4 linked regions of the Saccharomyces cerevisiae S288C genome follow. The main gene of each other region encodes a partner of the protein of the gene in region 3 in a complex. Each region holds a gene or a part of one and is shown on either strand. Other genes may lie near its edges. The genes, in order: SMD3, SNU13, SMB1 and SMD1.

Region 1 (7,901 bases), on a different chromosome or scaffold from region 3:
AGCATGCGTAGGTTCGAAGTGCTTGCCAGAAGATTGTCACGTACAGTTATCAGTTGTTGTTGATGTAAAAAATACAGGCAAAGAAAAAATCAACAAGAATAAGGGCGGACTACATGTTCAAGGCCGTTCATATTGGGCTCCATGTAATATCGGACCATATTCCCAAAGTACTTGGTTAAACGATGATGCAAACCAAGTCAGTTTTATCAGTGGGCAAATCGGACTAGTACCGCAGTCAATGGAAATATTAGGAACACCTCTCACTGACCAAATAGTTTTGGCATTACAACATTTTGATACTTTGTGTGAAACAATAGGAGCTCAAGAAAAGTTACTCATGACATGCTATATTTCAGACGAATCGGTTCTCGACTCTGTCATCAAAACATGGGCGTTTTATTGTTCAAATATGAATCATAGATCAGATCTATGGATGGACAAATCTGATGATGTTGAAAAATGCCTAGTTCTTGTAAAGATTTCTGAATTACCTAGAGGCGCTGTTGCAGAATTTGGTGGTGTTACTTGTAAGAGATTAATAGTGGACGATAATGATTCCGACAAGAAAGAAAGGGAAGAGAATGATGATGTTTCAACCGTATTCCAGAAATTGAATTTGAATATTGAAGGTTTTCATAACACTACAGTTAGTGCGTTTGGATATAATAGAAACTTTATTACGGGATTTGTAGATAGTAGAGAGGAGTTAGAACTTATCTTGGAAAAAACCCCAAAATCAGCCCAGATTACCCTCTATTATAATCCCAAAGAAATCATCACTTTCCACCATCACATTGGATACTATCCGGTGGAGAAACTTTTTGATTACCGTGGTAAAGAACACCGCTTTGGGTTGCATATTCGTTCCTAACTCCAAATGTAGGCCTTATATTTTATAAACTTAATAGATATACGCTGTCCACGCTCCTGGCGGTGTAAATGATAGACAGATCCCAAATATGTTAGCAAATCATAGGAACAACACCATATTGTGAACACGTAAAATTTAGAATACGCCGCACAATTAAGGTGTGTTCTGTAATAATTTGATTATTGATGATGGTTTAGGAACCAATATTCATATAAAAAAATGATCATTCTATAAAATACCTTATCGTAACACTTGTACCATGCTACTAACACTGTATATATTTCTGACCCCTAAGAAAAAGCACCTGAATAAGCTAAAGACCAAGTTAAGCTTTGCCCATTGTCTAGGAAATTTCTGTTGAAATCAGGTTGGCTGAAAAAGTCGTACGAAAATTTTGGATCAAGCAGAGCCATATTTAACATGATTATTCCTTTCCAACCGTCATTCACTTGATCAATTATCGGCTGCATTTTTTCTTCCCACTCCTCTTTGACAAAATTTGGTGTTCTGACCCATGAAGATGCTGATGTTATAGGAATGGCGTGAATCATATGAATGTATTGAGGCTCCATGCCAAAATACGTGGCGTGATCAATTTTATTTTCGAATAAAATACCACTAACTTTATTACCAATAAATTCTTTCGGTTGGACAGTATTATTGCTTTCGTATAGGAAGTAGCTCTGGAAAACATTTCTCATGATGCCGAGTTGTAAGTTCGCTATGTCAGTTAACTTAGAATTTCCAGTTACCAACCCCCACAATTTTATCGCATAGCAAGAATTGACATCTTCTGAAGTAGATTCTTCATCTTTACCGTCACCACTTGGAAATAGTCCTTTGGCCCATGAATGGCCATTAAACCAATCAAATGACCTAAATTGAGGGAAGTACGGATCATCGTTGTCAACACCAGAGTAATCTCTAATTAAGCACTCAACCCAATCTCTATTATTTTCTAACCAGGAGTTGTTAGTAACTCCACTTAAATCAGAATCGACTAAAGAGATAATGGCAGCCGTTATGACATGATAAGAGTAATGAAAATGATGATCATTATAATAAGAGTTACCAAAGTCTTGGCTAGAAGAGCCTGATGAAATTATGCCTTTCCAACTAACGTCGTAATTTAAAGGTAAGACTTGCTGATTGCTGATGAATCTCTCCATTGCAATAGTCAGTTTAGATAATAATTCTTTTGTTAAATTTTCATCATGAAGGATGTAATGTGTCACATAAAGAATCCACGCATACTTTGCAAGTATCTTACCAGAGAAATACATAGAATCTATGTTTGATTCTTGTTGAGGGTCACTCAATTGAACTTCTTGAACAGCAGCTTCCCGAATTTTAGATAGCTTTTCTTGACTGTAATCTGCCTTCTTATTCAAAGATAACGCGACAGGTTCAAAGCCCAATTCTTGAGGTACTTGAACCTGCATATCAAAACTGTTTGTGAGATAACCAGTCATTAAGCCTTTAACTGTGGAATCCAGGCTTGAGGCAATTTCACGTTCCTGCATTTCTGGTGTGAATGCCGCTTTATGATGTGGTAAAGCATACATTAGAGTAGTTCCAGACTGCGAGTAGCCTGCAACCGTATAGTTAAATCTGTAATTTGTGAAATGTTCATCAACAGTTTGCCCTGATAGGTCACAGTATACTGGATAACAGCCCGCTGCCATGTCAATACTGGGGACGGAGTCTGCAGATAATTGACAGATAAGACCATTGATTTTATGAGATGATATTATTGTATTGCTGTCGAGTAATGAAATTTGAAAATCTTGTGGAAAAGAGTAATCAGGTGAGGTCAAATAAAGTATCCAATTCCTATTATTCTCAAGTTGTATATTATATTTACCATATCTTTCATTCACGCTTATGCGCTCTAAGCTCCTGAAACCAACGGCGCTTCTTAATTCAAAACCCAAATCGTGGTAAATAGCCGTGACAAAGCCCATCCCCTGAACCAGCGGGAATTCTATAAACTGGGAACTACTCAAAGACATTAGTAAGCACATGGACATATGTTTCATATCCCGGAATTCAAGCTTGATATCATTTGAAGAGACAAATTCCCTGGCCTTGAATACAAATGATTTTATATTTGTGGGATTGAAGTAGAATCTGGGAGGATTTGTAGTTGTATCAAAAACCCTTTGAGACGCTAAAGTATGATTGGCGGCCAAACCAAACAATTCTGGATCACGAGAAAACCAAATTGAATAAGGATGTGTCCATATAGGTTGTGTATTATCGTCTAATAACATGTTTGTGTAGAACTTGTTTGTCTCCAATGGATCAACAGATTGATCATCAATATTCGGCTTTGGTACCGGGTGTTGAACTTTGTTGAAGACGGAAGGAGGAGCTTTTAAGTTAGAAAGGACAGGTGATTGAAAAATATTGTCACTATTCACCTGGCTGTCAGCTAAAGGGTTAGAACTGCTTGGTGTGCGCAGTGATTCACCTGCCACCCTATTTTCTCGAGGTTTACTGGAGTTCTCAGAAGAACAAACTGGTGGCTGAACATTTGCGCGAGGTGGTAAGGGAGGAGGTCCTCTATTGGTAGTACCGCCAGGTCTATTAGGAACAGGTGGAGGAATGGCTTGCCTACTGTAACACATCTTTTTACTTCTCGTATTTATTTATTTTTGTTTTTATGATACTAGCACTTTTCAGAAATTCATGAATTTTATTTATGGTTCCAAGAAAAAAACTTCAAAGAAATGAGTACTAGAATGATATATCCACAAAAAAAAAAAGAGCAGAAACAAAATGGATGAGATGGATAATGTGATACGATCTCTGGAGCAAGAATATCGGTTAATATTGCTCTTGAACCATAGGAACAAAAATCAACATAGAGCGGCTAGCTGGTATGGATCGTTCAATGAGATGAAAAGAAATTGTGGACAAATAATAACGCTTTTTAGCTCGAGAAGATTACAAGCCAAACGCCTTAAAGATGTTGAATGGGTCAAGTTGCACAGGCTATTACAGAGAGCACTTTTTAGACAGTTAAAGAGATGGTACTGGCAGTTCAATGGCGTAATTGCGCTGGGACAATTTGTAACGTTGGGTTGTACACTAGTAACATTGCTGGCAAATGTGAGGGCACTGTATATGAGATTATGGGAGATTAATGAAACTGAGTTTATAAGATGTGGATGCTTAATAAAGAACTTACCGAGAACAAAAGCAAAATCGGTTGTGAACGATGTCGAAGAACTTGGAGAAATTATAGATGAAGATATTGGCAACAACGTTCAAGAAAACGAACTAGTGATAACGTCTATACCAAAGCCTCTGACAGAGAACTGTAAGAAGAAAAAGAAAAGGAAAAAGAAGAACAAATCAGCCATTGATGGCATATTCGGATAAATATACAAGTAAATAGACTTTTTAAAATAATAATATCAATGCTAATAAATCATTCATTAATGACCTTGTCTGCCCAAGTAGGCAAAACAAACGCACTAGAATGTATTTGAGGATTATAGTACTTCAGCTTCCCTTGTTCTTGCTCAGATATCTTTCTTTGCGGAATGTTCAACGGTATATTGGCGTTATTACTGCAAACAATTAAACCTAATTGGCCAGATGTATAGGTTGGAACCATGGTATAGCAATATTCTGTATTAGGAAATACCTTTTTGGCTGTATTTTTCAAATCATGTAAGTATTTTAAATTTAACCAAAAATTTTCAGAGCTTTGCATAATAACAACGCCATTAGGATTTAAAGCATCTTTCAATAGTTCGAAATACCTCTCTTGAAAAAACGCTTCAGCTGGACCTTCAGGATCAGAACTATCTGTAATAATGACGTCAAATTTCTTATGGACGTCGGAAGCACCTATATCTTGTAAGAACTTGAAGCCATCGCAAAGTTTCAAGTCCAACCTTTCGTCATCGAAAGCACCATTACTCAATGTGGGCAAGAACTTACGGGATAATTCGATCACTGATGAGTCAATTTCTACCATAGTGATATCTTCTACACAGCTGTGCTTGGCTACTTCCCTTAAGACACCTCCGTCCCCACCGCCAATGATAAGTACACGCTTGGGATTAGAATGCGCAAACATGGCAATGTGGGTGATCATCTCTTGATAGGCAAACTCATCAAATTCCGTACATTGGACAATACCATCGAGGACCAAAACAGTACCGTATACCTTGTTACGGAAGATTAAGATGTCCTGAAATTCACTGCGGGCTTCATAAAGTATTGAGTCCACGGTCATAGTAAAGGCCTGGCCCGGAAAACTTTTATCATTAATCTCTCTAAACCATCCATCTTTGATGTAAGGATGCTGTGAATTATTAACCATAATGTATAACTGAATCTGTCACTTTATCCTGCCTGTCTCATCGGCGTTTTGATATTTTATTTTTAACTAAAATCAGCAGCAACTTGAAAAATTTTGAGATAACCTTAAAAAGGATCTAGCAATAAAGAGAAGCTCGAAGTAGCCATGGACACTGAAGAGAAAAAAAAGACTACAGCGTCAGTAGAGCATGCCCGGATGTTGCAAAATGAAATACAACAGTTATTTGCTCAGTTGCGGGATACGAATTCTCAAATTCGCTGCGATCTTAACGAGTTTGAACAAATAAAGGAATCATCTACAACAGCGGATTCAACCACGAACAGTGCGAACTGATAAATTTATATTCAAATATATTTTACATAAACAATATTAATATATATATATATTCCCCCTACAATGATGAATGCGTTTCTGCCGTCACGTTTCCTATTATCACCTTCTCTTAGGTCCTCTTATTGGTGGCATAGGTCTTGATGAGTTTTTTTTGAATAATGGTGCATTCTTTAAGAGATCTGGAACAACGATAAATTTGATCTGTGACCCACGTACGAATATTTGATCCATGTGTGTTACAGCCCCCTGGGGCTCTGTAGCTATTACATCTCTTAGCTGTACGTTCATGCTATCTTCGCTTTCAACAAGTTTACCACGATAAGTCGCTCCCGTTGTTAGCTCCAGAGAAACGATATGTCCCTGTGCCTCATTTAATAATTTCACTGGTATTCCATTCATAGTCATTGTTTCTGATACGTGCCTCGCAGCGCTTTCTGATTCTCTTCGTATTGCTCTTATAAGAATTTTTTAACGATTTCAAAAATATCAAATCTATAGAACGAAAGAAATAAGAAGCTGCCATCCCTAGAAAAGTAAAAACTATAAGGTACCAAGAAGTAAAAAGAGAAATATAGGGATATAATGATAAAAACACGTATAGAGGAAGTTCAGTTACAATTCCTCACAGGGAATACCGAACTTACGCATTTGAAAGTCTCCAATGATCAACTTATAGTAACGACACAACGGACAATTTACAGAATAAATTTACAAGATCCGGCCATCGTCAATCACTTTGACTGTCCATTAAGCAAGGAACTAGAAACTATAATGAATGTTCATGTTTCACCAATGGGTAGTGTCATTCTTATTCGAACCAACTTTGGCCGGTATATGTTGCTAAAGGATGGCGAATTCACTCAATTGAACAAAATAAAAAATCTCGACCTCAGCTCGCTACATTGGATCAACGAAACCACCTTTCTGATGGGAATCAAGAAGACGCCCAAGTTGTACCGAGTTGAATTGACAGGAAAGGATATAACCACGAAGCTATGGTATGAAAACAAGAAACTCTCTGGTGGAATTGATGGCATTGCGTATTGGGAGGGCTCTCTGCTATTAACTATAAAAGACAACATTTTATACTGGAGAGACGTGACAAATATGAAATTTCCTTTAGTATTACCAGATGAATCTGAGCAATTTGAAAGGTTAAAACATCATGCGATAAAGAAATTCGATTCGTACAATGGACTCTTTGCTTGGGTCACATCCAATGGAATTGTCTTTGGTGATTTAAAAGAAAAGCAAATGGAAAAAGATCCTGCTTCTAATAATTTTGGAAAATTCCTATCTTCGTCGAAGGTTCTACTCAATTTCGAACTGCCTGACTACCAGAATGATAAAGATCACCTCATCAAGGATATAGTTTTGACTGCTTTCCACATCCTGCTTTTGAGAAAAAATACGGTAACAATGGTGAGTCAATTAAATAACGACGTAGTGTTTCATGAAACTATACCGAGACACCAGTTGACTGGCTCCAACACTGATAGTAATGAGAAATTTTTAGGCCTAGTAAGAGATTCGGTGAAAGAAACGTTTTGGTGTTTCTCAAACATCAACGTCTTTGAAATTATTATCGAAAATGAGCCTAATTCGGTATGGAATTTATTAGTTCGGGATAACAAATTTGACAAGGCCCTATCGTTGAAAGGCTTGACGGTGAGGGAAATAGAATCTGTAAAACTTTCAAAGGCAATGTACCTTTTCCACACTGCTAAAGATTTTCATTCCGCGGCTCAAACTTTGGGAAGCATGAAGGACTTGTCACACTTTGGGGAAATCGCATTGAATTTTCTCCAAATAAAAGATTACAACGATTTGAACGTAATATTGATAAAACAGTTGGATAACGTTCCCTGGAAATCAACTCAAGTCGTCTTGTCGAGTTGGATTATTTGGAATTTTATGAAACAATTGAATGATATTGAATTAAAGATAAACACAACTAAGCCAGCTTCTACTGATGAAGACAATTTGCTAAACTGGAACCTGAATCTCAAGGAGAAATCGAATGAACTAACGAAATTTTTGGAAAGCCATCTAGAAAAACTTGATAATGAAACCGTTTATCAAATAATGTCCAAACAAAACCGGCAAAACGAATTATTGATTTTTGCTAGTCTAATCAACGATATGAAGTTTTTATTATCATTTTGGATTGACCAAGGAAATTGGTATGAGTCCTTGAAAATTCTGCTTACAATAAATAACCATGACCTAGTCTATAAGTACTCTTTGATTCTCTTATTGAATTCACCAGAGGCTACTGTGTCAACGTGGATGAAAATCAAAGACTTGGATCCAAATAAGTTAATTCCAACAATTTTAAAATTTTTCACAAATTGGCAA
Region 2 (7,615 bases), 110 kb from region 3:
GGCGAAGAAATTATCTCCTTTGATTTTATTAGCAGGGAGGATTTGCTTGACGACGCCACATGCACAGGTAAATCACACGTTTATTTTCTTTGCCTACTTAAGAGTTGCTATAGTGAAAACCTGTTTTTAAAGGAATACAATCTTGCTGGAAAGCATGGAAGTAGGAAATTTGATTTAAACGAGTACCGCCAATACAATCTTTTGCCGATATGTGATAATGAATTTTGTTATATGAAGGTAGTTTGCGGCCATACCATTGTAGTGTTGACTACTAACTACACTCAAATAATAAATATAAAAGCAAGTGGGCTTACAAACGGGGCTTTTTTCAATAATAAAGGTCTCCCAAATGTAGAAAACTACCAATTTCTAAAAGATTCTTATGATGTGATATATGAAAGATCAGTCATTCTCTTGACAATTTCTGACGTGTATGCTAACAAATACACTGCCAAGATACACACTAGGTCGTTACATAGAGACCACGTCCTGAAAGAACTACAATGGACAAAAGAAAGAGTGTTCAAGCCTCCTAAACATGATCTATGCGATGTTATTTTGCAGCTCCCACGTGAAAAGTATATAGCGGTGACAAGAATAAATGGAGTAAATTTTATATCGAAAGATCATCGAGGTTCAAAATTAGAAAAGGTGAAAAGCGGTCCCGCTTATACAAACAAAGTTTACCTGGCATCACAAGTTATTGGAAACAAGGGGACAGATATTGATTCACTGCTTTTGGGTGGAAGTTTTAACTCAAGAAGAGGATTTTTAGAAAAGAAAATTTTGGTATATGACAAAACCCTGTTCAAGTTAGTGACTTCCTCCAAAGCGCTAGTAGAGAATGTAACTGATTTTTGGGTTACAGATTTAGCACTTAATGGTGGTGACGAATTTGCATATGAATCAGGTGGGTTGATTTATAAGAACGGAATATTTTTAATGGATGAGCCTTATGATTACGGTCTATTTGTTTCTAGGACGGGAAAAGTTTTGAAAGCCGGTATGGATGGTTCTACCGGAGAATTTAGGCAGGTCGATTTCTTGCAGTCGAACCACAACTCTTCCACCATGTTTTGTTATCCCGTACAGAACTCCAAGCTCAGGATTTCGATACTTGAGGCAAAATCTGGTTTTCTACGTAAAAAAGAAGAATTTTTTATCCATGGGCTCAATTCTAAAGAGAGTATTGTGAGCTGTTTCTCAGATGGTGCCGAGAAATACCTTTTTGTCATTTACTTGGACGGTGTGTTTTCGGTATGGAATGCCAATCAAAAGAAAGTGGCTACATCACATCCAGACTATTCTTTCATAGCCTATGATCAATTGATAAAAATATCTTGGCTAAGCAAAAAGCATAAACACGACTCGATTTATGTCATCGCATCATCATACACTGGCTGCGTAAGAGTCTACAAATCAGAATCAAATTTTTTGAGAGTGGATTTAGAGATTCATTCGTTATACGATCAGAAATTAGAACTGTTGGATACGATTCCTTCCTTACCTTTGGTTTTCCTTTACAACGATAAGGAAATAATTTTGTTAAATCTTCAAAACATGTCTTATGGTTGCATACAGTTAGGCTTAGTTCCAAGACGAATGAGAATTCGACCCGGTAAAGCACTGTTCTCTCTTTGTGTTTTAGATTATGATTCTCGAATAAGCATCTTTGAGTTTGGTAGCACGTTTTACCGTGAAGGTTTCACTAAGCAGATGACTTCATTAAAACCTCAATTAGAAAATCATATCTTTTACCTCCCTAGCATTCCCGTAGAGCTCTATACTGTTCCAAATAACCTCAATCAGGCCGTGGTGTGTTTGGTCGATAGCAATAGTAGGCAGTATAAGTTGATGCTATTCAATTATGCTTCAATGAAGGCAGTTTCCACATTCAGTTTCTCGGATGAAAAGTATTTACATGCCGTTGTGAAGCCACTGTGGCCAGAACAAAACTCAATCTACTTATCACAGAGACCCTTTTATGGTAATAAGTTTGTTGTATGCTTAGGAGTTGGTGAAAAACGTACAAAATTCTGGCTGTTTGAAATTAGAAACAATAACATTACCCAATTGTACGCGAATTATCTCGAAGATTGTATATTCTCGGTGTTCATATACTATGAGTGCAACTTGGTTTTATTTTCTGGTGATAGTGGCATAGCAGCATATAAAATAAACATGCTAAAAGAGGGCGCGGAAATTTTAGAGGCCTATTCCTTCCCAGCACTTTCATCGATTAACCATATAGGTCTTCCAGCTTATATGAGTGGTGATTATCTGGTTCAATTTGAGATCTTGAGAGATTTTTTGAGAACCCGCTTTCCAATTAGGACGTCCATAGTATATCCATCAGAGTACCCTGAATGTCCCTACTTGGGTTTTAAGCGGTTGGGAAGCATTACACAAGTGGCGACTAAAATAATTCCTAAGAAGCTAAGAGAACCTAAAAACGATTGTTTAGCGAGTGATAAGAACTATCTATTAGGTCGATTATCAGACCTTTCTTGTGCAACGTTGAAATATTCCAATAGATCTTATGTTGCCACCATTGGTATTGATAATACCTTGACAATATACGAAGATTCTAAATTATCAGTTGATAAGGGCGGGTTGGCTATGCCATACCTCAAAATTCGGTTACCTAATAAGATAATCTCACTGGCGGCCATCCCAGATGGATTTCAAAACCTTCAAATATGTCCAAATTTCAATAGTCAAAGGTTGGAAGGCGTCATACCTCTATTTTTACTTTGCGGTACTGAGGGCCAAATTTATATAATATCGGAATTCATTGGTGAGCTGTGGATGAGAACGTTGCATGATTACAAAAAGATCAAGCTCGAATGTAAAAGAGCTTTTCGAAGGTCTGAGAAAAGCATGCGAAATGTTACTAAACAATATTCCGTGAGTAAAGAGACTGGAATAAATGAAAGCGGCTTTGATGAGCTAGCTAGAAATTCAAAGAGAAGACATATAGATCATTCACCATACAAGACCATAGATTTTTTCGATCCTGTAAAACTAAAAAGGTGACAATAAATCTCCTACGAACGAATAGGTGCCATGAGATCTTGCACCTTTTTGTTATGCCTAAATTACTACAGCTCAATTGATAATACATGTTTGTGCATTTACAGATGCACTCGAGTAGGTTATTCAATGAAGATATGACATATATCATACCACTAACAAAACAGCACTATTAGCGTCTGCACTAGTGGAAAGCAAAAAACTTTTTTATAGTATATAGATGGTACAAAAACTATGTTGATAGATATAATCCAATCTACTTAAATTAATAAAGTTTCAATCTTGTCCTTGACAGCGTAGATTTGGGTCTTGATAGCAGAAGCATCGTTGGTGGTAATAGAAGCAGCAATAACTGGTCTAGAAACACCACAAGCTCTACCTAAAGCAACTCTAGATGGAACAAAGACATATGGAACATTCTTGTCTTCACATAGTAATGGTAAATGCAATAGGATTTCAATAGGTTCACAGTCAGCAGCCATAATGATGAATTCGGAGATACCACGGTTCAAAGTTTTGGTAGCTTCGTTGGCACCTTTCTTCAATTGTCTCAAGTTAGCAGCCTGTTGAACGACATCCAAGATTTGTTGGGTTAATGCAGCATCGGCTAATGGGAAAGCCTTTGGGTTTGGGGCAGACATTTTTAATATAGTTTTTATAGTATGAAATCTGGTTTATTCAAGTTCCTTGCAATAATCAGTATGGTCCTGGTATAGAAAGCTCGCTCGAATGATGATTTAAATTAAGATTTGAAAGTAGGACTTGAACACTAAGAGGAATAAGCACTATTAACCAGAATAATCAGTTTTAAAGTGAAAAATTTTCTAACTCATCTCATTCCAGCATTAGAAAAAAAAATTTTCTGAGAAAAAGGAAAAATGAAAAGAAAAAGAAAATAGAAATGAAAAATTTTTCTATATGCTGAATTTATTACCCGGATAAAACCGATAAGAAAAAGAAACGATACAATTGTCTACTTTAACAATAGAAGTTGATAAGGTTGGGCCTCTTTTAAGAGTACAGGTATAGTGATCTCATCGTACCCATTGTGTAGCTTAAAACGCATAATGCTCTTTGTTGCTCCTTGATATTCAAATTTTCTATTTTATACACATTAAAAATTAAGATATACATATTTAGCGTGTAATACTCTTTTAAACAATAATAATGGTACTAATAAAAAGGAAGCTTGAAATGAGGTAGTTTGGATATGAAGTAAGAATAGGGGCTATAAACAATCTCTAAGATGAAAAATTTTGATAGTTTTCATAGTTTCTCACAAAAAGATTCTTTTGTATACTCTATTCCTGCTTTAGTGATTCAGAAGCTGCCTTAACAGACAACATCTTGAGTAGCCCTGGAGTTCAACAACAAAGCAACAATCAAACCGTATAGACCCAAAACTTCAGCAAAAATCAAAATCAAAATCATACCGACGAATAATCTTGGTTGTTGAGAGGAACCTCTAACACCTGCATCACCGACAATACCAATAGCGAAACCAGCAGCTAGACCACTCAAACCGACTGATAGACCGGCACCCAATTGGATGAAACCGGTGTACAAAGCTTGCTTTTGACCCAACGAATAACAAACCAAAACGGAAACAACTAAACCGTAAATGGCAATGATACCAGCCATAATAACAGGAACAATGTTCTTGAATAATAGGTCTGGTCTCAACACACAAGTGGCACAGATACCAACACCAGACTTAGCAGTACCGTAAGCAGCACCTAATGAGGTGAAGATAATTGCAGAGGCACAACCAATGGCACCAAAGAAAGGGGCGTAGACAGGACACAATTCAGTCATTATATGTATATGTTTCTTTTGTTATTCTAATTGATTAGTCTTTTTGAGAAAAGCAATAAACACGATCTTCTCTTTCTTTTAAAAAGATTTTTATAAACAAGTTTTTAATCAGAACGAGTGTATAATTGTACAAAACTATCAAGGGTCAGTCAATCACTTAACCACTTTTTCTGTTTTTTTTTTTTTTTTTTTTTTAATGCGTTTCTTTTCCGGGTAATATCCCTTTATACGATTCAAATTTTTAGCAATGGAATAGGCCGTAGACGGCCGTAGACGGCCTATTTCATTGCTGATAAAGAATTCAGTTCCTCTATCTTTCCTAAGTTGAATATTGTGCAATAATAAATTCATTATTAAAGAAGATGTACAATTAATAATAAATAATTGCTGGGTGAATTTGTAAAAAAAGAAAACTGTAATATAGAATATATAAAATAAGTTGATAGAAATACCTAACTAAAACAATAACAATTATTAATAATAACGCAGAAGTTAAAGCTTATAGTCTATAGCTTAAATGATTGCGATCTGTGTTATTGTTGCGGGCAAAAAGAAATGAAAAATTAGCGCCGCTCGGTTTCGATCCGAGGACATCAGGGTTATGAGCCCTGCGCGCTTCCACTGCGCCACGGCGCTTAGCCAACTTGAAAGAACTGGATGTTAACTTTATTTATTAACACAATAACAAATTCTTCTATCTCTATCTCTCCATGTCGCTTATATTGAGGTCCGCCAACATATCACTTAATCTGTTACTTGTAGTGGCATGTTTATAATTACTATTTCTTAGCTCATTTCAGGTATTTTGCGGTTAATTATAAAAGTAACCGCATGTGTTCCACAGTTGTTGTCAGTTGATACTATTTTAGGTGGTTTATGCTGTTTCAACCACGACAACTTCATCCTCTCACTGGACATTTTTGAACACTAATTGAAGTTTCCAATACCACTCGTCTTTTAGGCAAAGGTATTTTTCAAATATAGTTATGAAGGCGTATATGATGGCATTTGGCTCATTTGGGCAGTACGACATTTGTTCATTTCCGGTAGAATCAATACCTACGTGTTAGTTTACCTTCCGATGGTGATTTCTCCCATGGATATTGCAGGAGTAACAGTCGGTTATGATTCACTAACTAACAGTTATATTTTGCTGGGATATTATTATATACGGCGTTAGAAGACATGAAATGATGAGAAGCAGTCATTAAATTTAGTGGAAGCCGAAATGTAAGGATTGATAACGCAGTAGGATAATGAACAATAAAACATAAAATGAAAGGAGAAGTGACGCTTTTAGAGCAGTAAATTATAACGTAGAGGACGAAGAAATGTGTGCATGGTTATGTAGATTGTTGATTCTCTTTTGCGAACTCCTGTGACCTAGTGGAGAATTTTAGCAACTCTGTAGGCCTAATAATGTTGTCTTCAATCAAAATGGGACTTGACAATTACTCCAATATCCATCTAACCTATATCGTTATCCTGTCATCATCTATGATATCGCTAGACGTTAGTAGTAAATTGCTTTCTTTACTGCGCATCGTCGAGATATTTGCACCATTCATGCATACATCTTTGTGTATAAAAGATGTTAATCAGAATTATCATACATGTACATAACGTAATACCTGAGTACTTACTGAAACTCGACAATTGGATGTTGGAAGGCATTGAGTTCTTGCGTTGTTAGCCGTTTGTTGTTCCTAAAGTGAGGTAAGTCCGTATGGTTGACGGTGGCATCGCCAAGTTTTGCCATATAACTAATCCCGCTAGGAAAATAGTCGTATTTGTAATGAGTGAAGTAGAAACTATGCCCGTAGTTACGATAACAGTATGACACTGTCTTCGTCATAGCGGTAGTGTTAGCTTCCGTACGATTGCTAAATATGATAAAAGTTCCAACAGTATCTGTAGCCGCTATTTTGTTGCTTGGAAAACCAAGCACTTGTAAGTACTTTAACACATTACGAGCATCAGTTAGAGTGGTGTTATCACGTAATGAGGGCAAATTTGCACCATTATGAAGTAGTGTGCCCGCACTTGCGAGCTCGACGATCATGACAAGAAAAAATAGAAGGCTTGTTATTGTTATTTTCATTTTTTATTTGGATCTGATATAACTACGATGCAATTTGACAGTGAAGAAAAGTTATGCTTCATCCAATCCTAAGCGCGATAGTGGGAATGCACCCTTTAACATGGCCTTATTAAGTTGTCTAAAATCTATGCATTGGCGGTAACTACCAATCATATTTTTCATCATATAGATAATTGGTAGATGTTGGGTTGACCTGGCCCATATTACATAGATATGAAGAAGCAAGCTCGCAAAACAGACAATTAAGTATCTATATCACATGTATTCATTGTAAGGAAAAAAGTGAAAAAAAGATGAGGGTAGAGAAAATGAAAATAAGCCTCTTGTGACGGAATATTACTATTGAAAAATGCACACGTAGTTGGAATTAGCAGTGGAGGAAATTTACCTCCCAACACTACTTGTTTTGGAATTTCATTCTTATCAAAGGCATTCACGTTGTAGAAGAGTCAAAGTTCTATGTGAAGTCGTTCATATCAGCTTCCTTTTTTTGATGCGCTATCATCCATTATTCTTGGCCACCAACTCTCATTAAATACTGCAAAAGTCCAAACCTAATTTATTGTTACGGTTTTTTTCCTCCGACATGGCGATGGCTGCCTTTTAGCTAATTTAACATTGTAACAGTTAAGTTCATGAGCCTTTTAGCCTTTTCTTGCATCAAAG
Region 3 (8,177 bases):
GGGAGCTAAATCATTTATACACGGAAAAATTAGTGAAGGATTTTTTGGTGGGGTCTCCAAGGAAGTAATTTCTACGGTGTGGTCTATGTATGTTTTTCCGGACGCGTTCCGCCGTTTTGGTTTCTGCCCCAGAACACCCCCCATAAAAGAGGTTTTTCCGAAGAGTGCCTTTCAGTTTTTCCGAGATCTTTATCTTTTTCATCCGTATTATGTAAACCTGAATAGCCCCTTGAGCAATTGAGTTGCATAATAGCATGCAATTGCATATTGAACCTCCTAGGACTTAAAGGTTATTCGTCAACTAAGGAAAAATATGCTCATAACTTACATATCTCGTACACCCTAAAATCCCACACAGGGATTAAAATTAAAATTATGTTTAGGTAATGAAAAAATAGTAAAAAAATGCTTCCTTAAGTTAATTATGAATTTCCCTATTAACACACATGCGTACACAAAAAAAGTATACGGAAACTATATTAGACTACACTACATCAACCTTATTTTCTTTTAAAACCTGGTGGGGGCTGAAACTTCCTTGTTTGAGGGGGCGCTTCATTATTAAACCTCGACCTATTTGCGCCGATATTATCGTTGCCACCATTGTATCTGCTCGACGATGGTTGGGCAATCTCCCTAGAATTGCTACTAGTATGCTTCGCATTGGCCGTGTTAGGTTTAGCGATCTTTCCCGGCTTTTTCTCTTTCTCTTTTCTTAGTTTCGTCTGCTTTTGCGCTTGTTTCTTTTCCTTTTTATCTCTCACTAGTCTTTCCTTCTTGGATAGTAGCGGCTTATCCTCCACCACTGTGGATAAGATCTGTTCTCCTCTTAGTATAGTCAGTCCCAACACTCTTTTTTCTACCTTGATGTTCAAAGTGGTTCCATCTTTTGAATCTTTTCTCGGTCTTAATTTATCTAGTTGAGTTTTGGGTACCCTCTCTTCTATACACTCATTCAACACTAAATTCATATGTTTATCAAATGCCATCAATTGCCCGATGTAAACGCGGCCATCTTGAGTGAGAACCCTCAGCTTATAATCAATAAGGTTGGCTAGTCGGCTGCTATGTGCCACCTGTATTTTGCTCATTAGTTATTTACTTTACTGGAAACCTGTTATACGGATGGTTCTGTTACCCCTTCTACTTTTTTCCCTGTCTTGTTCATTTCTAACTAGCATAGGCTTCTTTAAATTTCATTTTTTATTTTCATAATTTTTATTTTGAATTTTTTCCCACATTATCGTGAGAAAAACAAGAACATGGAGAAATAAGGAAGCTCGGTGGGTGGTTAATTGGGGAACACACCTGGTAAGTAAAATTCAATACATGGAAGGAAAGAGAGAAATAATGTCTGACGAAGCAAAGGAAAAGCGTGAATTAGAAAGCCAAAAGGAATCAAGTCATAATAAATCCGAAAAGTCTGTGGAACCTAAGCCAAAGAGAAGAAGAAGAAGAAACTATGACGATTATGACGCTGAAGTAGCAAAAGAGGAGACTAAGGCTAAAAATGGTTTGACGAAGAGCGAAAATAATGGTACTGTTGAAGATTCTGAATCTGATATGGACGATGCCAAGTTAGACGCATTGATGGGAAATGAGGGAGAAGAAGAAGAGGACGATTTGGCAGAAATTGATACCTCTAATATCATCACATCCGGAAGAAGAACACGCGGCAAAGTAATTGACTATAAAAAGACTGCAGAAGAATTAGACAAGAAGGAACCTAGCACAGGCTCTAAAGATGATGTAGGATATGGTGAAAAAGAAGAAGACGATGAAGACGAAGAAGACGATGATTTTAAAGAGTAGTAAGCAAAATGTCGTACATACCGGCCTCTACTTGTGTATTCTGTTTACTTCAATTTCCTATATGCGTTCTATATGTATATAAACTATATGTCAGCAGAAAATTGTAAAAATATAGCACAGAATTAAAGGGGAGAAGAGTCATTCACATGCAAGTGCGCAACTGCTGCAAAATATCTCTTAACAACAGTTATTTCCATTTGCCTTTTTGTTTTCGTTTGGTGTTGGTGTCAGACTAATCGTTGGTCCATTAGGAGCGGACGCACCATTGGCATTCCCGTTGGCACTGGAGTCACCAAGGTCCATTTGATGCTTGCTGACCTTTTGATAGATGGTATTGATTAACTCTTCAAAAGCCTTATCCACGTTTTCACTGTTCAAAGCACTTGTTTCTGTGAATAATAACTGATTTTCCTGTGCAAAAGTCTTGGACTCCTCCGTAGGTACAGCACGTAAATGGGCCAAATCAGACTTGTTACCGATAAGCCCCACTGCGACGTTGTCATCTGCATTTTCTCTTAATTCTGATAACCAATGATTACAATTTTCATATGAGCTTGATTTACTGATATCGTAAACGATCAAGGCACCTACAGCTCCTCTATAATAAGCAGAAGTAATGGCTCTGTAACGTTCCTGGCCCGCAGTATCCCAAATCTGCGCCTTGATCCTCTTGCCATCAATTTCCAAAGTTCTGGTGGCAAACTCAACCCCAATTGTAGACTTTGAATCCATATTGAATTCGTTCTTCGTAAATCTTGACAATAGATTGGATTTCCCTACCCCGGAATCACCGATCAGTACAATTTTAAATAGTAGGTCGTAATCATACCCGTAGTCCTCGCTGCTCATTGTTGAAATCCCCAGACGCCGTCAGAATCCCTTTGCTGGCCTAAACAAAGTGCCTTGTAATAAAGGTCAAATTGTTATTCGTTTCTTTCTTGAAAAGTTTTGAGTTTCCCTCTTTCTCTAATTTAGCACCCGCACACCGCAGCGGCCTGTGATATTCCGCATTGGAAAATGGTAAACAAACAACAAACGAGCCCAAACATAACAACAGTAGAATTGACGCCTAGGAACAACAATACAACATACTTACAGCAAGACTACTACCTAATTAGTGCAATTAGATTGCGCTGGGATAGATCTGAAGCTTTTTTTCCGATTATGAGCCTCCCTGTTACACCTGTCAAGAGCAAAGTGTGCAGTACATTATCGATACAACATGAGATGGACCATGATCAATGCCGTGATGTGTTGTGCCCACGCGAAAACTTACTAGCCATTAATAGAACTAATAATATAGAGAGTGTTGCTATACCGCGACAGAGATCGAGCAAGAACAAGAAACCCCATGAGCATACACAATCGCAGGTTCGATTTTCCATTCCAGATCCAAATGAAATATCACAGGACTCCCCACTGAAAATTGTATTCCCCAAGAGTGGAAATGAAACCGAAAGAAGAATGTCTACTTCATCATTACTTATGAATAGCCATGGTCATTTAGTCGACATGCACTCTAAAATACTGGTCGATGTCCCTAAAGAAGTTTGGAAGTTTCATCATAACAGGAGAAAAAAATGTGAAAGCAGGCACCGTAAAACTCGTTCTGATGTTAGGTCCAACACAAGTAGTAGTGGAAAAGAACCAAACCATTCTAGATCAAAATCATTACAGTCGATCATTGTGGATACAATGAACACATATCGTGCAACCGAGGTTGAGACCAGTATTAATGAGAATACTAGTAATATTAGCCAAGTATCTCCGCTGAATTTATCATTTGACAGGCCTCCTCCCTTAACTCCCGAAAAGAATTTATATCTCACTCCTGAATCGCCATTGAACAGATATCATTTACCAGTTCCATTAGAAATATCTCTGCCGCCCTACTTATCTCCGCAAAACAAGGATAAAAAGAGGAGTAGCTTGGTTTACGATGGGGATGGCTATAGCCAGTTTCAAGAAGGTAACACCTCATCGTCAACTGAATCTTCTCTAGAACAGCCCTCATCGTCGTATTCAGATGAAGATGATTCTATTCCATATGCCCACCATGATGTGTCTTTCGAGTTAAATAATGCAGATGCTGATAAGCTTCTTGGAATTGATGAGAACGCCAACGTCAATCTGAAGATACAAAGGAGAAATCTCAAAAACCCACAACATATTAAGAGTAAAACAGATAGGGAATGTGAGGAAAAAAACACTGAAAAAAATGTTTCGTTAAAAATTCTGTCAACACCAAATAAACTGATAGACATCCCCGACTTAGAGCACATGAAATCCCCACCAAGCACAGGTTTAAATGGGACATTAAAATTTTTCCAGCAGTTTGAACCTAGCGAGGAGCCAACTTCTCCAACTCGCCAAGTTAACCCTGAATCACTGGACAAACTCGATATGTCATTCAAATTTCCCTCCAGTACTACTAACAATAATGTGGATAAGGTACATGAAAATAGAAACTCTGGAGACACGAACAATGAAGATTTCCTGAAAGTTGATACTTCGCCTGTGAATCAATCATTTGAATCCAGAAGACAGATGTTAATAGACTTGCAAAAATCTCCGACGAATAATAATCCGAGGATACATAAACATAGGAGAAGCAGGAGCGTTCATAATATTGATGACATTTCCTTAAATTTCGAGGCAACCTCCACACCACCAGCTCCGACCTCTGCTCCCTCAATTCCTGTTGAACATTCTAACCCATGTACTTCCATTGAAATACCTAAGAGATCACCCTTACGGTTCACGTCATCTCCAAAAACATCTGATATTCCTCCTGAAGCTCAATCACCTAAAAATGGGTCCTTCCTCCAAGAAATCTCGGTACCTTCGATTCAAATTATACCAGATGAAAGTATCTCTCATACAAGAGAACCATCACCATCACTTATTGAATGCCCAGAGGATGAAAACGAAGCTTTTTCTACTGAAGTTGCTGACCATTCTATTGCAATAATTAGTGAAACAAAAAGTGTTCCATCGATAGAGCCATTCAAACCGCTATCTTCATTCAATTCATTTGGTCAAGAAATTCAAAACAAGGAACCAACTCCTTTGAACCAAACTCCTACAGACTTAATTGGTAAACAAAGAAACTGTGTGAATCCGCATTCAATTCCATTTAGTGTTTTATCTTCCAATAGCCAATCGTCACAATCGGGTAGTAGTAAATCTTCCTACAATTCTGAGTTTTCTTCCAATACTGCCATTACGGATACAACATCTCAACCTTCTGTGACCATTAACAGGTCAACTTTAGAACATAACTTTATAGAAGAAAAACGATCAATTAAAAATTTAGGTCATGGTCCTCCATCCCAGAAGAACAACTATTCGTTCCCCAGGAATAAGAATACTCCTTCAAATAGACACGATTTGGATTTTAATACCATTTACGAAAAAAGAGATGGTAAAATGGTTGAGGTTATTCTTTTAGATGAGGATGAAGATGTAGGCCTCAAAAATAACGATATATCACGAACAAGAGTCTGCCATGCTCAAAAAGCTAAAAATGAGCAACAGAAGAAACGTCTAAGCCATTGCAACGAAATTTTGGGCATGTGTGATAAAACTGCAGATGATGCAAAAAGAATTATTTATCAACTGGTAAATGAGAAGCATAAATTCTCAGAAAAAGGACAACAAACAAAGCCAAAAAAATCAAGAGTACTTCCGCCGTTGCCTTTTCCACTGTATGATGAAAAAGGGAATTCTTTGATCCCGAACAAGTATCAGTCCAGTATTCATAACGACATTCCATCTCATCGCAAACTAAAATAAAAAAAAAAAAAACAACCCTACAAATTGTTCTGGTAAACAGATTTGACCAGCTCATCGCATGAAGATTTATCGGAATGGCAATTTGCTTATTGCCTATTTTATTTTTTCATCGGACATTACAAAATTTCATATCTCTTACATGTAAGAAAAACTTCTAGTTTTTGTACTTTCTTAAAAAAACTATATTCAGACATGCCAATTCTGTAAAACAAATTAATAATATGTACTTTTATATCTACCAAAGATCATCCTTGGCACATGCAATTGATTACAAATACGAACATTACGCAAAGGTTTTAAAGCTAGTCACCTACTAGGGAAGAAATGTGGAGGCTACGGGCATAAAAAACATGCAGTATTTTCTCACGCTCTCTTTGGCGAGCTTTGAACAGAAGATGGTGTCTCCTGAATAGGGCTTAATGAGTAGTCATTTGAGAACTCCGGTGTGGGTTTAGTAAATGAATTAGTTGGTGTGATAGTTGTCGGTAAATTTGGTGAGATTACGTAGTTATCATTGCATTTTCCATCTAAACCATTCGATATTTGATGTTGTGGCGAAAGAACACTTGAAGGTTCTACGTTTTGACCAACATTATGATTTTGATATTTACTATCTCTCATTTGGGATGAAGTTTTTCGGGAGAGTGAATTGCAGTCATAAGTATTCCAATTATTACTGTTAAAGAAGGTGACAGTCTTGTTTGTAAGTTCAATCTTATTTTTCATCGGAGCTAATTCTTTAGCCCCTTGGTTGATCGTTAATTTCCCATTAAAACTATGCGTACTTCTGAAAGACGATGACACAGATGAAAAAGGAGAGACTTCTCTATTCTTGGAGCCGCCCCGTAAAGGAGATTTCAGTGTACGACGATTAAGATCATCTCTTTCAGAATCAGAGAAGTTAAAATCCTCTGGAATGCCATTAATTTCATCGATGTCGTAGTGGTCGAAATCAAAAAACTTACTTTTCTGATTGTATTCGTCTTCCTCAGCTTCATCAATGAAAAAGAGATTACTCATTGGTCTGGGGACTTCTGAATCTAAATCGCAATTTAAGTCATGATATTTTAGTGATTGAGACCTAGCTGGCGGCGGAAGAGGGGGGCTATTGAGTACAGCCGTATACTGTGGGCTCGCATAGTGCGGCTGCTGTGAATGAGAGGAATCAATAAGTTGAAACGGAGTTCTTAGTATGCTACTAGTGTCATCATCATCATCTTCACCATCATCATCGGTGATTGCAAGGGCTTGTGATTGCGCATCAGAAACGCTTGGAGTTATTACAATCTTAGCCGGTGTTTGAAGAATCTGCGAATGAGGATGATTGGGAGGATGGGATTCTGATTTGGTTTCATACAAAGAACTTTGCAGGGAGACCTGCCTTTCTGAATCATTGGATACTAAGCCGTTAGAATTGTTCCCTCCTGTCCCAGAATCACTTTCAGCGTCACTTGCACTATCATCAACATTAAATATATCTGAAAACGACTTTACTGTAGGCTTGGTAGAGCCAGTAGTACCTGTAAGGGAAGCCTTTATTGCAGAAGTGTGCTCCGTTTCATCATCCGAATTATTCCTTTTGAGAGAGAAACTATAGTTCGGCTTTCCATCACGTATGATATTTTTGTTAGATTGACTATAGATCCCCCGTGTTGATTTTGCATTTGCTGGTCCACTTTCTATACTAGGAGCTTCATCGGAAAACATATAAGACTCAGCTTCTGACATCTCTTTGTCGTCGTTATCGTCCTCATCAGACAAATCGAAAAGGTCATTGTATTTTTGAATAGGCTTCTTGACATTATCGTTTATTAGAAACTGCTCTTTGTTGTCAACCGTTTCTCCAAGAGATGCATCATCATGGTGTCCGCCATGGTTACCATTAAAAGTTTCTTTCCCGTTTTCTAATCGTTTTTGATAAAGATTATCACTCTCATTTTCATCTCCATTGTTACTGTTATCTTTACCATCCTCCTCCTCATCATCATCGCTCAAGTTAAAAAGATCATTGAACTTTTTGACTTTATTGCTTTTCAAGGATGTTTCTTCGAATCGAGTCGATAAACCGCATATTTCGTTTCCCTCATTACCACTCTCATCATCTTCTATACAATTCATATCGTCATCAAAGTTCTCATCCTCATATAGATCGTCTATGTATACATTTGCCGCCGGTTCCGGTTTGGAGTAATACTTTACAGATGATGTCCTTACGTTTATGCCGGCATATTCAAACGAAAATTCCGACTCATCATCATCATCATCGTCATCATCATCGTCATCATAATCATCATCATGATCATTATCGCCATCACCGTTTTCAGAAGATTCGTCATTACAATCGTTGGCTTTATGGGTTTCTTTTTCATTGACAGAGTATTCATCGGAATTGTTGTTGAGGGAATACACCTTTTCTTCTTCTTTTCTATTAAGACTAATCCTTACTTTTTTCTTGTTCAAGGTCTCGTTTTGACTATCGTTTTTGTTCACTTTTGAAGGTGATGATTGTAAGTCGCCGTGTCGTATCTTTGGTGAGAGGGAAAGTGTTTGACTATAAAAACAAGGTGACT
Region 4 (7,609 bases), on a different chromosome or scaffold from region 3:
GATAGTTTGCCTTTGAAATTGAAGTCCTTTTTCCAAAGATACCCCCCTTCAATCAAGTATTCTCCAGTGTCTACATCTACTAAAGCCATTAATGCCAATCCTTTCCTGCCAAATAAACATCCGGTCACACAACGATTTCATGATCCGAAATATTCACTTAGAAGAATGAGTGACGTATATAAGTTGGCACTGCGTTATGGAGTAGAAGAGTTTTTACCACCGATCGAAAACACTAAGAAACTTTTCTTCGAGGAGAAATACAATAAAAAGACCCTCATGAAAGGTGTTCTCTTGCCCAAGGGTCATAAGCATGAATTGAAATTAAACGAAAAGCTAAAAAAACGTGAAGAAGCTTTAAAGAAGGTAGATGAGTTGATTGCTTCCAAGAAGGGTTCGAAGTATGCCAAGAGAGTAGAAAAAATGAAAAAAAACCAAAGTATAGGCTGGTTCTGAAGAATAAGAGAGAAGATAACTATAGTTTAGAATAGTAAACCCTATGTGTACTGTTTTATGTTTTTAATGTCTAATCATGTAAATAATTTTGTGATATCAATAACGAACGTTCTGAACAAGAATTATGATAAAAAAAAGTAAAATCTAAAGCCATTACAACGCTATATTTTCAGTGGCAGTAAAAACGCAAGAACAAAAACAAAACGTGGGTAAAGAACAAGGACTACAATGGCTGTCAATGAATTTCAAGTGGAGTCTAACATCTCTCCAAAACAACTGAATAACCAGTCAGTGTCACTTGTTATTCCTCGGTTGACAAGAGATAAAATTCATAATTCAATGTACTATAAAGTAAATCTAAGCAACGAATCTTTGAGAGGCAATACAATGGTAGAGCTTTTGAAAGTTATGATTGGCGCATTTGGTACCATAAAAGGTCAAAATGGTCATTTACACATGATGGTTCTCGGTGGCATTGAGTTTAAATGCATCTTAATGAAGTTAATCGAAATCAGACCGAATTTCCAGCAGTTGAACTTCTTATTGAATGTAAAAAATGAGAACGGTTTTGACTCGAAATATATTATTGCTTTGCTTCTGGTTTATGCGCGGTTACAGTATTATTATTTGAATGGCAATAACAAAAACGATGATGATGAAAATGATTTGATAAAGTTATTTAAAGTACAATTATACAAATATTCACAGCATTATTTCAAACTAAAAAGTTTCCCACTACAAGTAGACTGCTTTGCTCACTCCTATAACGAAGAACTTTGTATAATACACATTGATGAATTAGTCGATTGGTTGGCCACACAGGACCATATCTGGGGTATTCCATTAGGGAAATGTCAATGGAATAAAATATACAACTCTGATGAAGAGAGTAGTTCTAGCGAAAGCGAAAGTAATGGTGACAGTGAAGATGACAACGACACCAGCAGCGAATCATAGACCTCTTCTTGGCCTTTTATTCGCTGGTGCACCAAAATCGCGCCTTCTCTTTTTGCTGGGGTCATTTGCAATTTGACCCGATCTTCTTAGGGAATTAAGTTGCTTTTGGTCAACCAAAAGTGAATCCAGGTTCAAGGAATCAGGTAAGATTATCTGTCTTATGGTATTGCCTCTAATGTTTATGTATTGCAAACTTGCTATGTTGTCACTTGCAGTAGGTTGCTGTCCTCCAGTCAAGTACAGACTAGCCATCGCAATACCATTACTGTTCAATTTATTTAGTCGGGGTTGTGGTAGGGTCAACTTCACGTCAGTTAAGATAGCATTCATTTGTGGTGATACCGACTGCAGTGTACCCCAAACGGTGGTACCGTTTTTTAGTTCTATGGTAACCTGCTCATTGCGCAGCTTTTTTAAAAAGTTAACCAACTTCATAATCTTTTTCTCGACGATTTATAAACGATACTTGGAGTCATCTTTCTTCATGACAATTTCATTGTATATGAACATTTCATATATTTTATTATTTTAAATATTCATTGAAAAATCATTAAATACGAAACTCAGAATTTATAATGGGGAATACTTTATGTAATAATATAATCATAAAATATATAATTCTTATTATTTTATTATAAATGTATTCCATATATAATATATAAGAAGCCATGAGCTTTTACTACTTCTTGGTATCATCACGATGCAAAATTTTTACCCGTGGTACGAAAAGGTTTTCTTTAGGTTGGAACGACGGCTGGGTTTGAGCGGATGATGACTGAGGCTGAGAGGAGTTTGATATTTTTAACTTCTCTTGCAAAAGCATTTTCTTCTTCCTTTGTTTCAAAACCTCTTTACCCGCTTCCTCAATAATAACCACATTACTGTTCTTGGTCTTAGAAATGGTGCTTTTTTCACGATTTTCACGCTTCTTCTTGCCTCTGTTCCGTTTTTTCTTTGGTATCTTAGCGGATGCTTCCTCTTCTTTGAATTTCTTTTTGGCGTTTTTATTTTTCTTCTTTTTGTTCTTATTCTTGACCTTATCACCAGTTCCAACCAGCTCTGTTAACACCCTTTCTGTTCTTTCTGCTATTTTATTTTCTAACTCTATGCTTTTTGAGAATTCTTTTTCTAAAGATTTCAATACGCTAAAATCTTGGAATGAGTACTCGTCATTTTCATTCAGCTGTTTCATTGAATTCATAAATGTTTTAAAAATTTCGTCTTCTTCAATTGTTCCTACTAGCGCGGCATCCTTTTTTGATGTTTGAGTGAATTTCTTTACGTAGGGCGACAGTTTCATATCTGGAATTGTAATATTATCCTTATTATCAATGAATTTACAAGTTTTAATGAAATTTGCGCATTTTTCCAAGTCTGATAAGTTGTCGAACAAGAAATTGCACCGAGAATATGTCGAGTTTTTGAATACTTTACTAGAATAATGACCTTCAAAAAAACACCAGTCACTGTACTTGAGTTTACCCTGGATATCTTGCTTATCACCATCATCGTTATTATTATCTCGTAAGATGGCAAAAAATTCATCTGCAGTCAAATTTGGAGGTAGCAATCTAATAACAAGCTTAAATCCTTCATTCTCGGTTGATTTACCCAATCTAGCCTTTCTTTTATAGTTATAATACTCTCTGTTCCTTTTCTTGTTATTCCTTCTGCCTTTGCTATTGTTGTGGGTAGCATTAGTAGCATTATTAACCTTATTCTCATTCTTTTTAGGATCTACCGTCTCATTCTTACTTTTTCCTCTGTTCTTGTTATGATACCTATTTCCCCTGCCTTTCTTTTTCCCCTCACTATTCTTCAATTCCCCAGCCACATTGCTCATGATAGATTACTATATATTTCAGCAGAAATGTAAGTCCCTCAGTAGGTTTTCCTTTCCTCTTTGCTGATATATTCATGCAATAATCATCGACAATATTTTCTTTTGTATCTTACTTTTTAGGCGAAAAATTTTCAACTTTTGATCAGCAAACAATACACAAAATAAATAAAGGGATGATAAACCATAGAATAACAAAAGTCTTCCGAAATAGCATATGTACCAATCTACTCAATCATTAATATGAACACTGCATTGGATGATTTACATGGGGATTTGGTGACTTTAGAAGATAACGAAATCATCAATAATTCTGATCATTCATCTTCTCACTCTACTAGTCATGAGGAGGAAGACGAGGAAGAAGACGATACTGAGGATATAGAACTTATAGAAAAAGACGGCAATAAAATCCTATCAAGTAGAATTCATCCGGAAGACGAAATCATAAATGATGGGTTAAATATATGGATTCCGGTTCAAATGCTCAAGAAGAATATAGCAAAGTTCTGGTCCCATTTTCTAGCAATTGAAAAGAAATTAACGAAAGTTAAATGTAAACATTGTGGAGAGATACTAACAAGAAGCGATGCAAGTTTGACAAAAACCTTTAGATCTCACTTGAAAACAAAGCATAATATAAGTGCCAATAAAAACTTCTATTCCATGAATTTCACAGTAGGAGACTCCAATCTCAAAAACAATACTTCCAGCACAGAAATTACACGTAGACACGGCTATGATTCGTTAACCTTCAATTCCGACCAAAGTTTCAAATGCTTTGACATAGGAAAATTACAGAGCAGTAATTACCTTTCTATTTCCCAATTAGTAGCCATAGTCATAGCCTCAGAAAATTTACCGCTGAACTTCTTTGAGAATGTGTCCTTTAAATCTCTTTTATCAAAATTTCATAGGATCCCTCCTTTAACTACCAATATAATAGAGGAGTCAATTATAGGGTTGTCAAAATCAATTGATGAGTTGATCAGAAGGTCTATATCAAGGAATGATACACAATTACCCTTTACTATCCATTTATCCGATAGTAAGGAATCAAATCAACCTCTTTACTTGAAATATTCTAGGGAAATTCGGGCACAATTGTCTAACTTGGACTTATCCCATCTTATTTCTGTAAATTTTACAGAACTGGCTGGAAAAAGATCATTATTTTCTTTGCAACTGTTCGATAATACCAACAAAGTTTCGAAGGGTTTACCATTATCTATTTTTGTACGTAAAACAACGGATATAGATATTAGTGTCTGGCAGGAACAGCTCAACAATTTGTATTCGAAATACCCTGGCTTACAAAAATCGGTGATTTCTATAACTTTGCCTCAAAGCCATTATACAATGGTACTAGAGAATAGAAACAGTCATAATTTTACTTTCCATAGCGGGAGTGTGAGGGAGATAAAGTACCATACTTGCATAGTATCTGAATTACTTCATTGTTTTTTACAGCCGTTGTTTAATGTTCCTACTGAATCAATGCTGTCTTCCTTTTCTGTGGCCAAAGAAAATCATTCAGGAGGCTCTTTGTTAGACTCATTAATAGATTTTTCCCATATTGATTTATCATCTACTATTCTCGGCAAAATATGCTGTTTGATAGAAGAAGTTAACTTAAACGACTCCCTAAAATCGGATTTCCTATTATACTGCCAAAATTATACACAACCTAACTGCAATGAACTTACTTCAATCCTTTCCTGTAACTGCGATAGATTTTCAGCTTTGAAGAGTATCTTAGAAAAATTTGCAAACTTAGTTCCTTTCTTCAAGTCTATCAACTCTCATTTAGAAAATGAATCACTTAGTGAATCCGATTTTCGTCTAATAAACACGGTAGAAGAGACGTTAAGAACTTTCGAGCAATCAATTGAGTACTTTGCTTCTTCCGCTCCATTGAAATTTACCCATACCTTGGTTTTTATCATTAAGTTTGAGTTATATTTGACAGAGATTATACGAAGCTTCAAATTCACCAAATCTAAAAAGCCCTTTGAAAAAATCCTAGCAAGGCTTCTAAAAGTTAAAGACCTTTATTTACTTGATGATGTAAACTTGATTGGTGCTTTCCTGTATCCATCAATCTTCCAAAGTAAAAGCCTTCTAAATGAAATCTTTGGCACAACATCGGTAAATAAAATAGTTCATAACATGACCAAAATTGTTCTAAGGTATCTTAAAAACTTTATCAATATAACTAATTTTCGTTCCTCTAATAGTGGTGGGGAGAGCGGTCGGAATTCCGGTAATAATCTTCTTTCTGACTACGAGGCCATTTTTATGAAAGAATCACGGGACGTAGAGCTTTTATGTAACACCAAGTTAACCGCACCACTAACAGAAGATTCATTACTTGTCCAAATCATTCGGGATGATCTATTACGCTATGTCAACAGAATTGCGCATGAGCTGCCTAATGCATACCATGACTACTTAAATGATAATGATATTAGCTTCGATGGATCTCACTTTACAAAACATGAGTTATCTGAGGAAAACGACTCTAACTCGGGGGAATGGTGCCTAAATCCCATGGAAGAGACATTTGATATTCATATTCCTATCTCGGATTCAATTTGGAATAATTACATAAGCAGTAAAAACAAGATTGAAGTAATCGATATTTTACTTCAGTTGCTTTCAGTAAATTCGACATCTTCAATACGGTCAGAATTATCTTCTCTAACAGCTAATCAAGACTTCAGTACCAAGTTGAGTGAGGAAACAATTAAAATCAAACTTTTGAATTCACAGTTTAATCTCGAAAAAATTAATTTTCACTCTGGATCAATTTTCGATGCTTGCTAGTGACATAATATTCCAAAGGAAAGGACAATATACTTTCAAGACTTTATTTTCTAGGACAAAATTCTTGTCCATTGTATTATATTTTCTTAATGGCACCCATATATTTCAGGTAAACTACATATGGTTATACAAATAAAATAATATTACTTAAATTTAGATGTATAGGTTCAAGAAATAAGTTTTAAGGTATTAATATGGGCGGTCAACTCAAAAATTTAACAGTTCGATAATTTCAAATCCTTGAGGATCCTCATAACAATATAAGATCTTCTTGGCATATGATTTTAACATACGTATCTTGTTTCCAAGTACACAGCGGACAAGTTCTCCATTTTCTATATGTCTAATTTCAATAAAGTTACTATTAATTGCCACAATATAAGGGTAGGAACACGCGAACTGTTCTGGTTCCCCCTCCCAATGAAAACATCCCTTTGTCTCCTCCCTCTTCCCTTGCTTATTGAGAAAAAAGCAGAGTTCTGGAAAACATGCAAAAGTTGAATTTTTTATCGGAAACATGGAAACTACTTTGAACGTCTCTTTATACATGTTCGCTAAAACTTTGTTATCATGTAGATTTAAAAGCTCCCTCATTTTAAATCCATTTTTATCACACACTTCCGGTACGTTTAATATTTTGATATTTTTTTTACAACCAATGCAGATCTTATTCTCCAAAAAAGAAAAGGACAGAGGTTCAGAATCAACGCTAAAATCTACCAAGCCTGCCTTTAGGTTTTTTTTAAAATTACCGCTATTAAAATCAAATATCAAAGGATTAACAATCAATAATTGTACGGCGTGCAAAAAATGATGTGCAATCATAATGATTCTTTTACCATTACAGAAACCGTCTTTGAACATTGCAACATATTTAAATAACACTTTAGAATTTTTTCTGAAAAGAAAATCTGCATTTTCTGCATCGTCGATTACGTCTAAAGGACAGCCGTACAGTTTTTTGTCAATTAGAAGAATCATAACTTTATATTCTTCCAATACAGAGATCTGTGAAATTGATATTTTGTGCAGAAGGTGCACTGGTTTTTGATTGATCGATGTAGCATAATTAAGAACAAAGAGTCCCATATTTGTTGCAACCAATAAAATTTTACCAGCATGACAGATTAGGACATCGTTGACGCGATTAGTATTTATGTATGAGTGAAAGAATTGACCTACCATTTGCTTAAAAGTAATATGTTTAGTTTCATCAAGGAGCCTTTTTTGCTCTTGTTTCACCTTTTCTATTAATGTCTGTAATCCGGCCGGCTGCGGCGCGTACAAAGTAACTTGATATTGTTGTTTCGTACCGTAATAGGCGAATACAATAGCATTCTTGGGATTGCTCGTTTGATATTGGGGTAAGAGCACACCCGCTGAGCAATTTGGGTTTTCTGTCACATATCTTTTTATGGGTGGCATATCCTCAGCCGGACAAATAAACAGTAAAGGGAGTGGAATTGGTCTCTGAAATACAGTGTGTTGGTGCCACTTGTTTACAGCTTTTGATTTCAAGAATAATAGCATATT

The links.
Region 1: SMB1 (region 3) and SMD3 share a complex: the UniProt entries of both Saccharomyces cerevisiae proteins name them as parts of the sm core complex.
Region 2: SMB1 (region 3) and SNU13 share a complex: the UniProt entries of both Saccharomyces cerevisiae proteins name them as parts of the U4/U6-U5 tri-snRNP complex.
Region 4: SMB1 (region 3) and SMD1 share a complex: the UniProt entries of both Saccharomyces cerevisiae proteins name them as parts of the sm core complex.

The regions. Positions count from the first base shown.
Region 1 is NC_001144.5:428,516-436,416, forward strand, and holds SMD3 (mRNA splicing protein SMD3), read right to left. Parts: upstream 5,949-7,901; coding exon 5,643-5,948; downstream 1-5,642. Other genes in the region: DPH6 (diphthine--ammonia ligase), read left to right, coding at 1-871; ACF2 (endo-1,3(4)-beta-glucanase), read right to left, coding at 1,162-3,501; RMP1 (Rmp1p), read left to right, coding at 3,653-4,258; SPE4 (spermine synthase), read right to left, coding at 4,308-5,210; YLR146W-A (uncharacterized protein), read left to right, coding at 5,355-5,543; tethering complex subunit PEP3, read left to right, coding at 6,126-7,901. UniProt on the Saccharomyces cerevisiae protein: Plays a role in pre-mRNA splicing as a core component of the spliceosomal U1, U2, U4 and U5 small nuclear ribonucleoproteins (snRNPs), the building blocks of the spliceosome. Also binds telomerase RNA and is required for its accumulation.
Region 2 is NC_001137.3:98,002-105,616, reverse strand, and holds SNU13 (RNA binding protein SNU13), read right to left. Parts: upstream 3,675-7,615; coding exon 3,294-3,674; downstream 1-3,293. Other genes in the region: YEL025C (uncharacterized protein), read left to right, coding at 1-3,036; VMA3 (H(+)-transporting V0 sector ATPase subunit c), read right to left, coding at 4,366-4,848; YEL028W (uncharacterized protein), read right to left, coding at 6,488-6,949. UniProt on the Saccharomyces cerevisiae protein: Common component of the spliceosome and rRNA processing machinery. In association with the spliceosomal U4/U6.U5 tri-snRNP particle, required for splicing of pre-mRNA.
Region 3 is NC_001137.3:212,087-220,263, forward strand, and holds SMB1 (mRNA splicing protein SMB1), read right to left. Parts: upstream 1,092-8,177; coding exon 501-1,091; downstream 1-500. Other genes in the region: CHZ1 (Chz1p), read left to right, coding at 1,351-1,812; Rab family GTPase YPT31, read right to left, coding at 1,990-2,661; FIR1 (Fir1p), read left to right, coding at 2,977-5,607; ZRG8 (Zrg8p), read right to left, coding at 5,971-8,177. UniProt on the Saccharomyces cerevisiae protein: Plays a role in pre-mRNA splicing as a core component of the spliceosomal U1, U2, U4 and U5 small nuclear ribonucleoproteins (snRNPs), the building blocks of the spliceosome.
Region 4 is NC_001139.9:629,948-637,556, reverse strand, and holds SMD1 (mRNA splicing protein SMD1), read right to left. Parts: upstream 1,846-7,609; coding exon 1,405-1,845; downstream 1-1,404. Other genes in the region: mitochondrial 54S ribosomal protein mL59 MRPL25, read left to right, coding at 1-453; U4/U6-U5 snRNP complex subunit PRP38, read left to right, coding at 682-1,410; UPF3 (Upf3p), read right to left, coding at 2,090-3,253; ENV11 (Env11p), read left to right, coding at 3,494-6,076; Rho family guanine nucleotide exchange factor ROM1, read right to left, coding at 6,284-7,609. UniProt on the Saccharomyces cerevisiae protein: lays a role in pre-mRNA splicing as a core component of the spliceosomal U1, U2, U4 and U5 small nuclear ribonucleoproteins (snRNPs), the building blocks of the spliceosome. Also binds telomerase RNA and is required for its accumulation.